Linked DNA regions of Coturnix japonica. The protein of the gene in region 1 interacts with the protein of each later gene in a biochemical or structural test. Links are inferred from orthologs where the notes say so. Each region holds a gene or a part of one and is shown on either strand. Other genes may lie near its edges.

What was found.
Region 2: the proteins of RFWD3 (region 1) and RPA2 form a complex in vitro, tested with the Homo sapiens proteins (3 studies listed by BioGRID, with this or other methods). The link is inferred for Coturnix japonica from reciprocal best matches to the Homo sapiens genes RFWD3 and RPA2.

Annotation. Positions count from the first base shown.
Region 1 is NC_029526.1:771,038-775,494, forward strand, and holds the start of RFWD3 (E3 ubiquitin-protein ligase RFWD3), read left to right. Parts: upstream 1-1,389; 5' UTR 1,390-1,444; intron 1,445-1,787; 5' UTR 1,788-2,009; coding exon 2,010-2,046; intron 2,047-3,217; coding exon 3,218-3,602; intron 3,603-4,457. Other genes in the region: MLKL (mixed lineage kinase domain-like protein), read left to right, coding at 79-128, 456-712. UniProt on the Homo sapiens protein: E3 ubiquitin-protein ligase required for the repair of DNA interstrand cross-links (ICL) in response to DNA damage. Plays a key role in RPA-mediated DNA damage signaling and repair.
Region 2 is NC_029538.1:1,359,267-1,363,637, forward strand, and holds the start of RPA2 (replication protein A 32 kDa subunit), read right to left. Parts: upstream 2,875-4,371; 5' UTR 2,763-2,874; coding exon 2,747-2,762; intron 2,660-2,746; coding exon 2,565-2,659; intron 2,377-2,564; coding exon 2,275-2,376; intron 2,142-2,274; coding exon 2,028-2,141; intron 1,595-2,027; coding exon 1,520-1,594; intron 1,178-1,519; coding exon 1,064-1,177; intron 750-1,063; coding exon 642-749; intron 464-641; coding exon 369-463; intron 255-368; coding exon 170-254; 3' UTR 1-169. Other genes in the region: SMPDL3B (acid sphingomyelinase-like phosphodiesterase 3b), read left to right, coding at 3,022-3,293, 4,227-4,324. UniProt on the Homo sapiens protein: As part of the heterotrimeric replication protein A complex (RPA/RP-A), binds and stabilizes single-stranded DNA intermediates that form during DNA replication or upon DNA stress.

The DNA.
Region 1 (4,457 bases):
GACCCCAGCCCTCTCCATTAGAGATGTGTACGATGTGGCGGGATGAACAGTGAGAAATTCTTGCTTGTCTTTTTCCAGCTTTGGGATTGTGCTGTGGGAGATTGCAACCTCCAAAATCCCATTTGAAGGTGAGACAGAAGTTGTCTATGGCCCTGTGTAAAAAACTCAGCATCCCATAGCATGTGGGTCCCAGCACCTGGGTCTGCATGACATCTTCACGGCTTCTGCACATGGTTAAACCACAAGAATGCAAGAAAGGTTGTCTCTATTTGTTGTTCCCATGCAGTGAAGCATTAAGGCATCCTGTTTCGATGAGGCCTAGTGGTGTCACAGCAAAGACGGGGCAGTTTATTACAGACATAGCTTGCGTGGCCCCTCTGCTGGCTCCTCCATGGAGGAGGCTGCGGGATGGCTTTGGTGGGTTCCATATCTTCTAATGTCCGTGTTCCATTTAGGCTGCTCTCTCCAGGAGATCAGGGACAAAATCTGTGACCGGCAGTTCCAGGACCCAGTCGGGGAAGATTGTCCTGAAGAGATGGAGAAAATCATCAACCAGTGTCGGGCCTTCGATCCGTTCCAGCGCCCGTCTGCTGAGCGTGAGTGTCCTGAAGGCATTCCCCACATGTCAGACACCTCCGTGGTGAATCTGTGCCTTGTTTGCCATCGGATTTTGCCCAGTTTTGTCTCTTTGGATCCCCCCTTGTCCTGCTGACACCGCCAGGCCTCCTAAGAGCTGGTTTCCTTCTGTCTCCTCATAGAGACCATTCACACAACAGCGTTTATCCTCACCACACAGCCTGCTCTGCTCTGTTCAGGCTAACACTGACCTTACCTTCCACAGAGATCGTGGACCTGCTGGCTGACCTGGAGAAGAGGAGGTATCAGGGCATCTAGCTGCAGAGAGCCTCAGCAGGCCGCCCAGACTGGCCTCCCTGCCTTAAATATATGTTTAAATATATGTTTATTTGTTTAACTAAGACTGGAAGATCTCTGAGTAGCGGCTGCTTCGCGTCCTTCGAGGCCCGCGGGTGAGGCCTAAAGGCCTCTAGGCCCCGTTGCCACAGCAACCCCGATTTGAATCCCCTCCCGCTCCCGCTTACTTCGTCCCGGCGGCGCCTCCCCCAATCAAAACGCACTTCCTGTCTCTTGGTCCCCGCCCTTTCCGTCCCTCGAGGATCTCACCGTCCAATCAGACGGGCAGCTCTATCTCGACTGACCAATCAGAGCACGCCTCACTTCACTCTCAAGTCCGTTCAGTCTCCTCCTCCCCAGTCCGTTCTCTGGGGCAGACTGACTGAGCGCTCGGCCAATGAAAATCCCCATAGCTTTCGGCTCACCCAATAGAAGCGTCAGCAGTGGGAGCGTCGGGCCAATAGGGCTGAGGGGGCGGGGCGGCGCGCTGCTCGAGCGGCGCTGGCGGGCGGCAGCTGTGGGCCGCGGTGAGGTGGGTCCGGTCCGGTCCGGTCCGGTCCTCGTCTCTCTCTTCCCTTCTCGTGGTTCCGTTGACCGCGGCGGAGCTGCCGCCCGTACCGAGCCCTGCGGGAGCTGCCGGGACGGTGCGGGGGGAGGCCGGGGGGCGGCGGGTGCAGCGCGGAGCGGCTCCCCCGGGGCTCGGCCTGGGGCTGCCATGGAAGGCCCGGCTGGGCACAGCGCTGCGCTGTGTGGGTAGCGGCCCATGTTGGATCCCTGTGGGAGGAACCTCCTTAACCCCCCAGCACGGCTCCGCTTGCTCCGAGTCTGGCCACGTACCGATGGTTTCTTTGGGTTCTGTTGCTCCCCCCATACAGGTGCAGCAGCCGGATGGAGGTGCGGAGCTGTGCTGCTCTCGGAGTCCTGTCCGTCCGCCAGGGGAAGCTGCTGCTCCAGCGCTGCTGCTGCCCCGATCCCTCGGACCTCGAGACCTTCTGCCCGCCCCCCACACGCACGGACGGGCGGTGCCGTGCACGCGGCTCTCGGGGGAGCCGCTGACTTTTGCCCTTCCAGGAAGGCACCAAAGTGTCACGGTGAAAATGTCAACGTTAACATCTTCCCGAAGAAATACTTGGGGTTTGCTATCCGTGCTTTAGGGCTTCCAGTGTGAGGAAAATAAGGGTTTGCATGTGGCAGCCTTAACACAAACCTGAGTTCAGTGCAGCAGGACTGCCTTAACTCTATCTGTGACTGGTCAGATGGGAGATGGGGCTTGGTGTCCTTTCTGGCCTAGTTTAAGCTGAAATATTGGTTATGAGGAAATCCTCTTTTCCCAAGGAGCACTGAGGCAGTGGCACAGCTGCCAAGAGAAGGGGGGAATCGCCATCCCTGGAGCGGTGGGGTTGTGGCACTAAGGGACATGGGCATGGGGGGGGTGCAGTGGGACTTGGATGTCTGAGAAGTCTGTTCTAACTTTAGTGATTCTAATGGTAATTAAAGTAGTGTTATAAAGTGATTAGTAAGAGTTTGTTAAAAGATATATCAAAAGTTGTTAGTATAACCACCTCTTGTGGATCTTGTGTACGTTCTCTGGTTATTCTTTGTAGCAAAACACCCTTGTTTGTTCACACAGCGCCTACCTTGAGAAGTTTTGGTGCGCACTTTGGGCTCTCAAATAATGTTGAAGGTCTGCTGTCCCCAAAGCCAAAGCCTTTCAGATTTGTGATTGCCAAAACACGTGGGAGGCAAATGATCAGCAGCAGATTGCAGAACTTAATCTGCTCTCTCCTCCCCCAAATTGTTTGCTTTGATTTGTTTAGTTCATGAAATAATCTAAGCTTTTCTGTGTTGCAAGACTGCCTGCCTGCAAAGGATTGGATGCTCTACAGAGCTCATTTCTATTTGTATTTGTCACTGTTTCTGCAGTGGTTTTGCCATGGAGAATTTCTAAGATATCTTCAAACTTTCCTCCAAGATCCAAAGGCATTTACTGGAAAGTAATAGAACAAGAATTACTGAACTTTCCATGCTCATCCAAAGGTTTACCTAACAGGATTTGCAGTGTGTCTTTGGTGCCAGCTACTGCTGAGCTAAAGGCTTCAGACAAAGAACTCAGGAAGGTGCCAGCTCACATACATGTATCTACTTGAGACAGTCTCTCTGTGCTGTATGTCAAAGGCAAAATGGCAACTTGTCTCTAGTCTGAATGTTGAAGGCTTTTGAGTGCTGCAGCCAGTTTCTGCTGCCATCAGGCCACTAGTGGGGCGCAGGCTTGTGAATGCTCATAGCTTTCTTTTGTTTTTGACAGAAATGGCTCAGGAAGAGATGGAAGTTGATCTCCAACCAGTGGTGAACTACTCCCTAGAGAACCAGGGGACGCTTTCTGCAGAGCCCGCTGCTCACACGGCACTGTCCTCTCAGGTTGCAGCGCTCAGCAGCGGAGGAGGCAGCCCTATCGTTCTTTCTGACGATGAAGTTGTTGTCGTATCGACTGCTGATGCCGCAAGGGAAGCAGCTGCTGATCCTGACCAGCAGGCGAATCCTCCCTCAGCTCTCATCGGACTGCTGAGGCTGCAGGGGGCGTCTGACCAGCACCAGCTGCTGCCTGGGCCTCAGGTTGTGCTGCGTCTGCGAGTACGAAGGGCTCGCAGGCAGCCAAGAGTCGGTGGTTCCCAGAGGACAGTCAGTGCCAGGTAAAGCAGAAGTGAAGCTGTGTTTGAGCTGTGCCCTTACCAGTTCTCATACTGGTTTAAGACTGCCTCGATGCCTGGCTTGTAGAACCTGGCTTGGTCCAGGTGTGTGACTGTGGTCAAATTCCGAGCACCTCAAAAACCTCTTAAGCTCACTAATGACTCTTTGATTTCATCTGATGATGTCTTTGCTTTTTGTTAAATGAACCCGCCCTTCTCAGTTCTTCTGTTGGCAGCGTTGTTGTTGACTGGAGCACGTTACCTTGCTCTGCCAGATTCCTGTTGGTGCTTCCTGCAGCAGATCTGGCTCTCAGCAGTCCCAGCCAGCATTTAGCTCAGTGGAGCTTGCACTCTCTTCTGCGTTTCACCTTTGATTTGAGGACTGCCTAATTAGGTGACAGTTGCTGCAGAAACTTTTGTAAAGAAATGCAAACTGACATTTATCATCTTTTTTCCTCTGTAGATTTTTGTAATCTCCAAGCAAAGTGAAAATTCTGTGTTTAGGGCTGTTAGGGATGAGTTTAAAAGGTGATAAGTGGGCACGCTCCCCAACTAGAAAAAGAATCCTATTTCTGGTTTGTTTGGTTTCTGTCTCATCTTTTGCAAATGCCAGGGGTGAAGTTATAATTAACTGGAGTGCTGGCTTGAAATTCAGTGAGACCGAGATCTCTTCTCCTCCTCGATGATTGCACGTTGCTGTACTGCTTGCCTGTAGATTGCTTGTGAAGGTCACTGTAGTTCTCCAGGCTAGAAGCAGCCTAGCAAAAACTGCTTGGAATGTGAAGGATAATTGAGATGATAGCTGGGTTGATGTGGGAAGAGGGAGGGTGTTGCTTTCCAGGGATAAATGTCTTGTGG
Region 2 (4,371 bases), on another chromosome or scaffold:
TTTCTCTTGGCTACATTGTCCTTGAATTTCGGGGTGTGGGGAATCACTGAATAAGTGGGACTTGCACATGTTAGAAAGCAAACATCACCTTCCAAGTTGCAAAGCTCAGCAGGTTAATTCGAGACACCGAGAAGCACTTGGCTGGGAGCAAATCCAGGTGGAAAGAGCTTCAGTCAGCATCCGTAGACTTATAGTGATCATCATCCACAGTAGAGTAGATGTGTCCCTCGCTGCTAAGGAATTCAACTGCTTGCCTTGGAAGGAAAGAAGTCCATTAGTACCTGGCTCACATCAATGCCTTCCTCTCAACCATTTCCCACCTACGTGGGACCTGACGCCCCCAAAAACATCAGCTTCTACACACTTACTTGATTGTTGGTATGCTGACATTGTGGAGCTGAAGTTTCAGCTCTTGGAGACTCATCCCGTCTGGAGAATGGCAGTTTTTAATCAGGTTCAGCACCTGGAAGAACGTGAACCATCATCAGCACACAGCTCAGCTCTATCAGCACTGAACAGCGGGGCCAAAAAAGGATTATCAGCCTTCCAAGAATAACTGAGCTTTTATTTCTTGGTCCTACAACACAAAGCAGCAGCACCCACTGTGTCAGCTGTGCTCTGGAGAAGGTGCTGGCACCCACCTGACTCTGATGTGCTGTGAGTCCATTGACAGGCAGGCTGCCTCCACCATAGGCCCCCACGTCACTCATTCCAACAGAGGTAAACGACTGAGGTGCTCTTGATGCTGACTGCAATTACAAGAGTAATTGAATAAAAGAACTGTTGTGCACAGGCTGCTGCAAACCCAAGGCATGAAGGACATGAAGGACTTAGCCTTCTTTCAGAGGCATAATAATTAAAGATAGATTTCCAACAGAAACCAAGTAAAACTGGCCGCAATGAGAATGTCTCTCAATGGAAATCAAGACTCTCATCACACCCCATTGCAGCCCTTCAGCCTTTCCAGACCCACAACTTGCACAGTTTCCCACTGAACCCAGAGGTCCCTCCCTTTAGATCACCAGTAACAGCTGTAATGGAACCATGACCTTCAACTACACACCATAAGGTTCTTCCTGAGGATCATATGCGCATTAACAGTCTCAAGTATGTGCGTGGTGACCTCGTTCATGTTTTCCAGAGGCATGATCTTAAACGCCACCAAACTCTTCTTGTTCTTCCAGAGAAAAGACAGCAAATACCATTAACAGGGGAGCAACAGGAACATGGTTGCCATAGAACTTAAGCACTCTAGTTAGGAACAGGAGCAGCAGCGGGTGGGGAGTCCATCTGCCTTTAGTTAGCAAAGGTTTTCAACTTAAATGCCCATGTCTGGGCAAGTTTTGATCCAGCTGGCAATTGCTCTTTGCTTTAACACATACAGCATGATCTCAAGGATGACTGCTATGAGTTGACTCCTATATAACATGCTGTGATTATTGTTCCTGCTCTGCCACATCACCAACCCTTTATGCTGCTGCCCCAGCCTTGTTTGTTGTGGAGTCGCACATGACCTTACCTGAAAAGACCGAAGATGACCAGCAACTTTGACGTAAGTTCCTGGGGGCACCACGATATTCTCACTACCTGCCTCCTTACAGAGAAAGGAGAAAGCAAAGAGCTGCTGATCCATCTCTCAGTTATCATACTAAACAACTTTAGGACTGCTATCTCAATCAAACACAAACGACACCCATTCAATCAGTACAAGCAGTCAGGTAAATGTAGCTACAGATGGGAAATCCTTATTTGGATGCACTGTCGGCTTGACAGCAATCAGTGCCAGCTGTGCATTCTGGGAGCAGTCACAGGATCTTATGGCAAACCTGTAGATAAACCAACTGAGAATCTCTTTAATTACTTCCAGTTGTTCAGCTCAGTGCAGCTGTTCATCTCCAGCCACATTCACTGCCAACTGATCACTGTTACCGCAGCACCCAGCCTGGCTCTAACAGGGACATCCATTGATGCAGCTCACACACTGTTTTACCCCCATAGCAGCACCTCAGGACGGTTCCATTGCTTACATCGGTGTCAACCCACTGCCTCACGTCCATGGGTGCCGCTGTCATGTCATCCACCTTGTACAGGATGTTGGTGGGCGCCTTCTCTGCGTGTCGAACGATGCCCACCACGGTGACCTGCGGGGGGAGGGCGGTCAGGGGGCGGGGTGAGACACCAGCGGCCCATCAGAACCAGCTTAATGGGAGAGGGGTGTGGGGTTATAGGGGGTGTGGGACTATACGGGGGTGTGGGACTATAGGGGGTGCCCACCTGCGAGATCTCCACGTCATGGATACGGAACGCCTCGTCCACCTGCTCGGCTGCCAGCAGCTGCGACACGGTGCAGGGCACGATGCTCTGCGAGCGGCTGCGCTGTGGGGGGGGGTGAAGGGGGACGTGATGGGCCCCACAGCCCCACAGCCCGGGCCCCACAGCCCGGCCCCCACAGCCCCACAGCCCGGCCCCACAGCCCCACAACCCAGCCCCACAGCCCCATAGCCCAGCCCCATAGCCCAGCCCCATAACCAGCCCCATAGCCCAGCCCCATAGCCCAGCCCTACCTGCTTCTTCTCGGCCTGCCCGCCCGCTGGTGAACTGAATCCTCCCGGTGACTGCGTGTATCCCCCCGCGGGGCCGTAACCGCCATCGAAGTTACCTGTGAAGGGATGATCGGAGCCGTGAGCTGCGCAGACCCATCTCACACCCCACACCCCACATCCCCCCACACCCGCCCGTCCCGCACCGTGTCCGCCCCACATGGCGCCTCAGCACCGACTGCGGAGCCACCCGCTCCTCCAGCACCGCGTCCCGCGCCCCGCTACCAGGAGCCAATCACAGCCCTCCGTCTTCCGCCAGCTTCCGATAGCGAGATCCAATCACCTCTCTCTTTCTTCCAGCGCTAAGATCCAATCACATCCCTCCTTCTTCCGGCGGTGCTGATGCCGACGCCGCCATGTTGGTTGCTGGCGCTGCCCGGCTCTGTGCCCCGACGGGGCGGGCCGTGCAGGTGAAGGTTCAATGATGGAGGCGGTGACGGTGCGGGCGGCCGCGCTGCTGGTGCTGCTGCAGCCGGCGGTGATGGCGGGGACATTCTGGCACCTGACGGACCTACACTGGGATCCCGGTTACGAGGAGGCGCTGTCGGCCGGGCAGCGCTGCCCGTCGGGGGGATCCGGACCGGGGGGACCGTGGGGCAGCTACGAATGTGATGCGCCCTGGGCGCTGCTCAGCTCCGCTGTGAGCGCCATGAAACGGCTGCGGGCACGGCCGGACTTTGTGCTATGGACGGGGTGAGGAAACAGCACCGATTGTATTGAGTCCCTGCGGGCTGAGTCCCAAAGTGATGGCCCCTATCTATTGCTATGGGCTGTAGCTGTGTTAAATGCCCCCTATCCATTGCCGTGGGCTTTAGATGTATTAAATGCCTCCTGTCTGTTACATGGACTCAGCTTTAGCTGTGTTAAATGCCCCCTATCTATTACTATGGGCTGTAGCTGTGTTAAATGCCTTCTATCTATTGCTGTGGGCTTTAGCTGTGTTAAATGCCCCCTATCCATTGCCATAGGCTTTAGCTGCATTAAATGCCTCCTATCTATTACCATGGACTCAGCTTTAGCTGTATTAAATGCCCCCTATCTATTGCTATGGGCTGTAGCTGTGTCAAATGCCTCCTGTCTATTACCATAGACTCAGCTTTAGCTGTGTTAAATGCCCCCTATCTATTGCCGTGGGCTTTAGCTGTTAAATGCCTCCTGTCTATTGCCATGGGCTGTAGCCATGTTAAATCCTCACCTTACTTGGAGCATTCATTGGGTTCCTTTTCAATTCTGTTTCATTCTATTGAACGCAGGCAGCTTTTGCTTCCCTGCTGTTATCCAGTTCTGACCCCAGGTTGCATTATATTCTCTTGCGTGATGCCCCACTCAGCTGTAGCATCTATTAAACACGTTGGAATGGGATAAATGTGCTGAAATGGGATAAACCTGCTTCTAGTGCCCACATATAAAGTAGAACCAAACGGAGCAGCTTTCCACTTGGAGCCATTTCCTCCTGCTTCTCTGCTTCAGCCCATGTGCACAGTGCAAGTTCCTACCCCAAAGACCTTGACTTTATCTCCTATGAGATAAGGAAGAAAACAAGGCTCAGGTGCACGTTCAGTGCCTTGCTCTGCCCACGTGCCTTGATAGTCACAAGTAACGTCTATGTTCTATCTGCTGTTCCAGGGATGATACTCCTCATGTCCCTGATGAGCAGCTCGGAGAAGAGAAGGTTCTGCACATCATCGCAAACCTGACCTCGCTGATCAAACAGGTATTTCCAGGTAGGATGGGAGGGGATGGGAAGGGGAGAGAAGTGCAGGTTTGGATG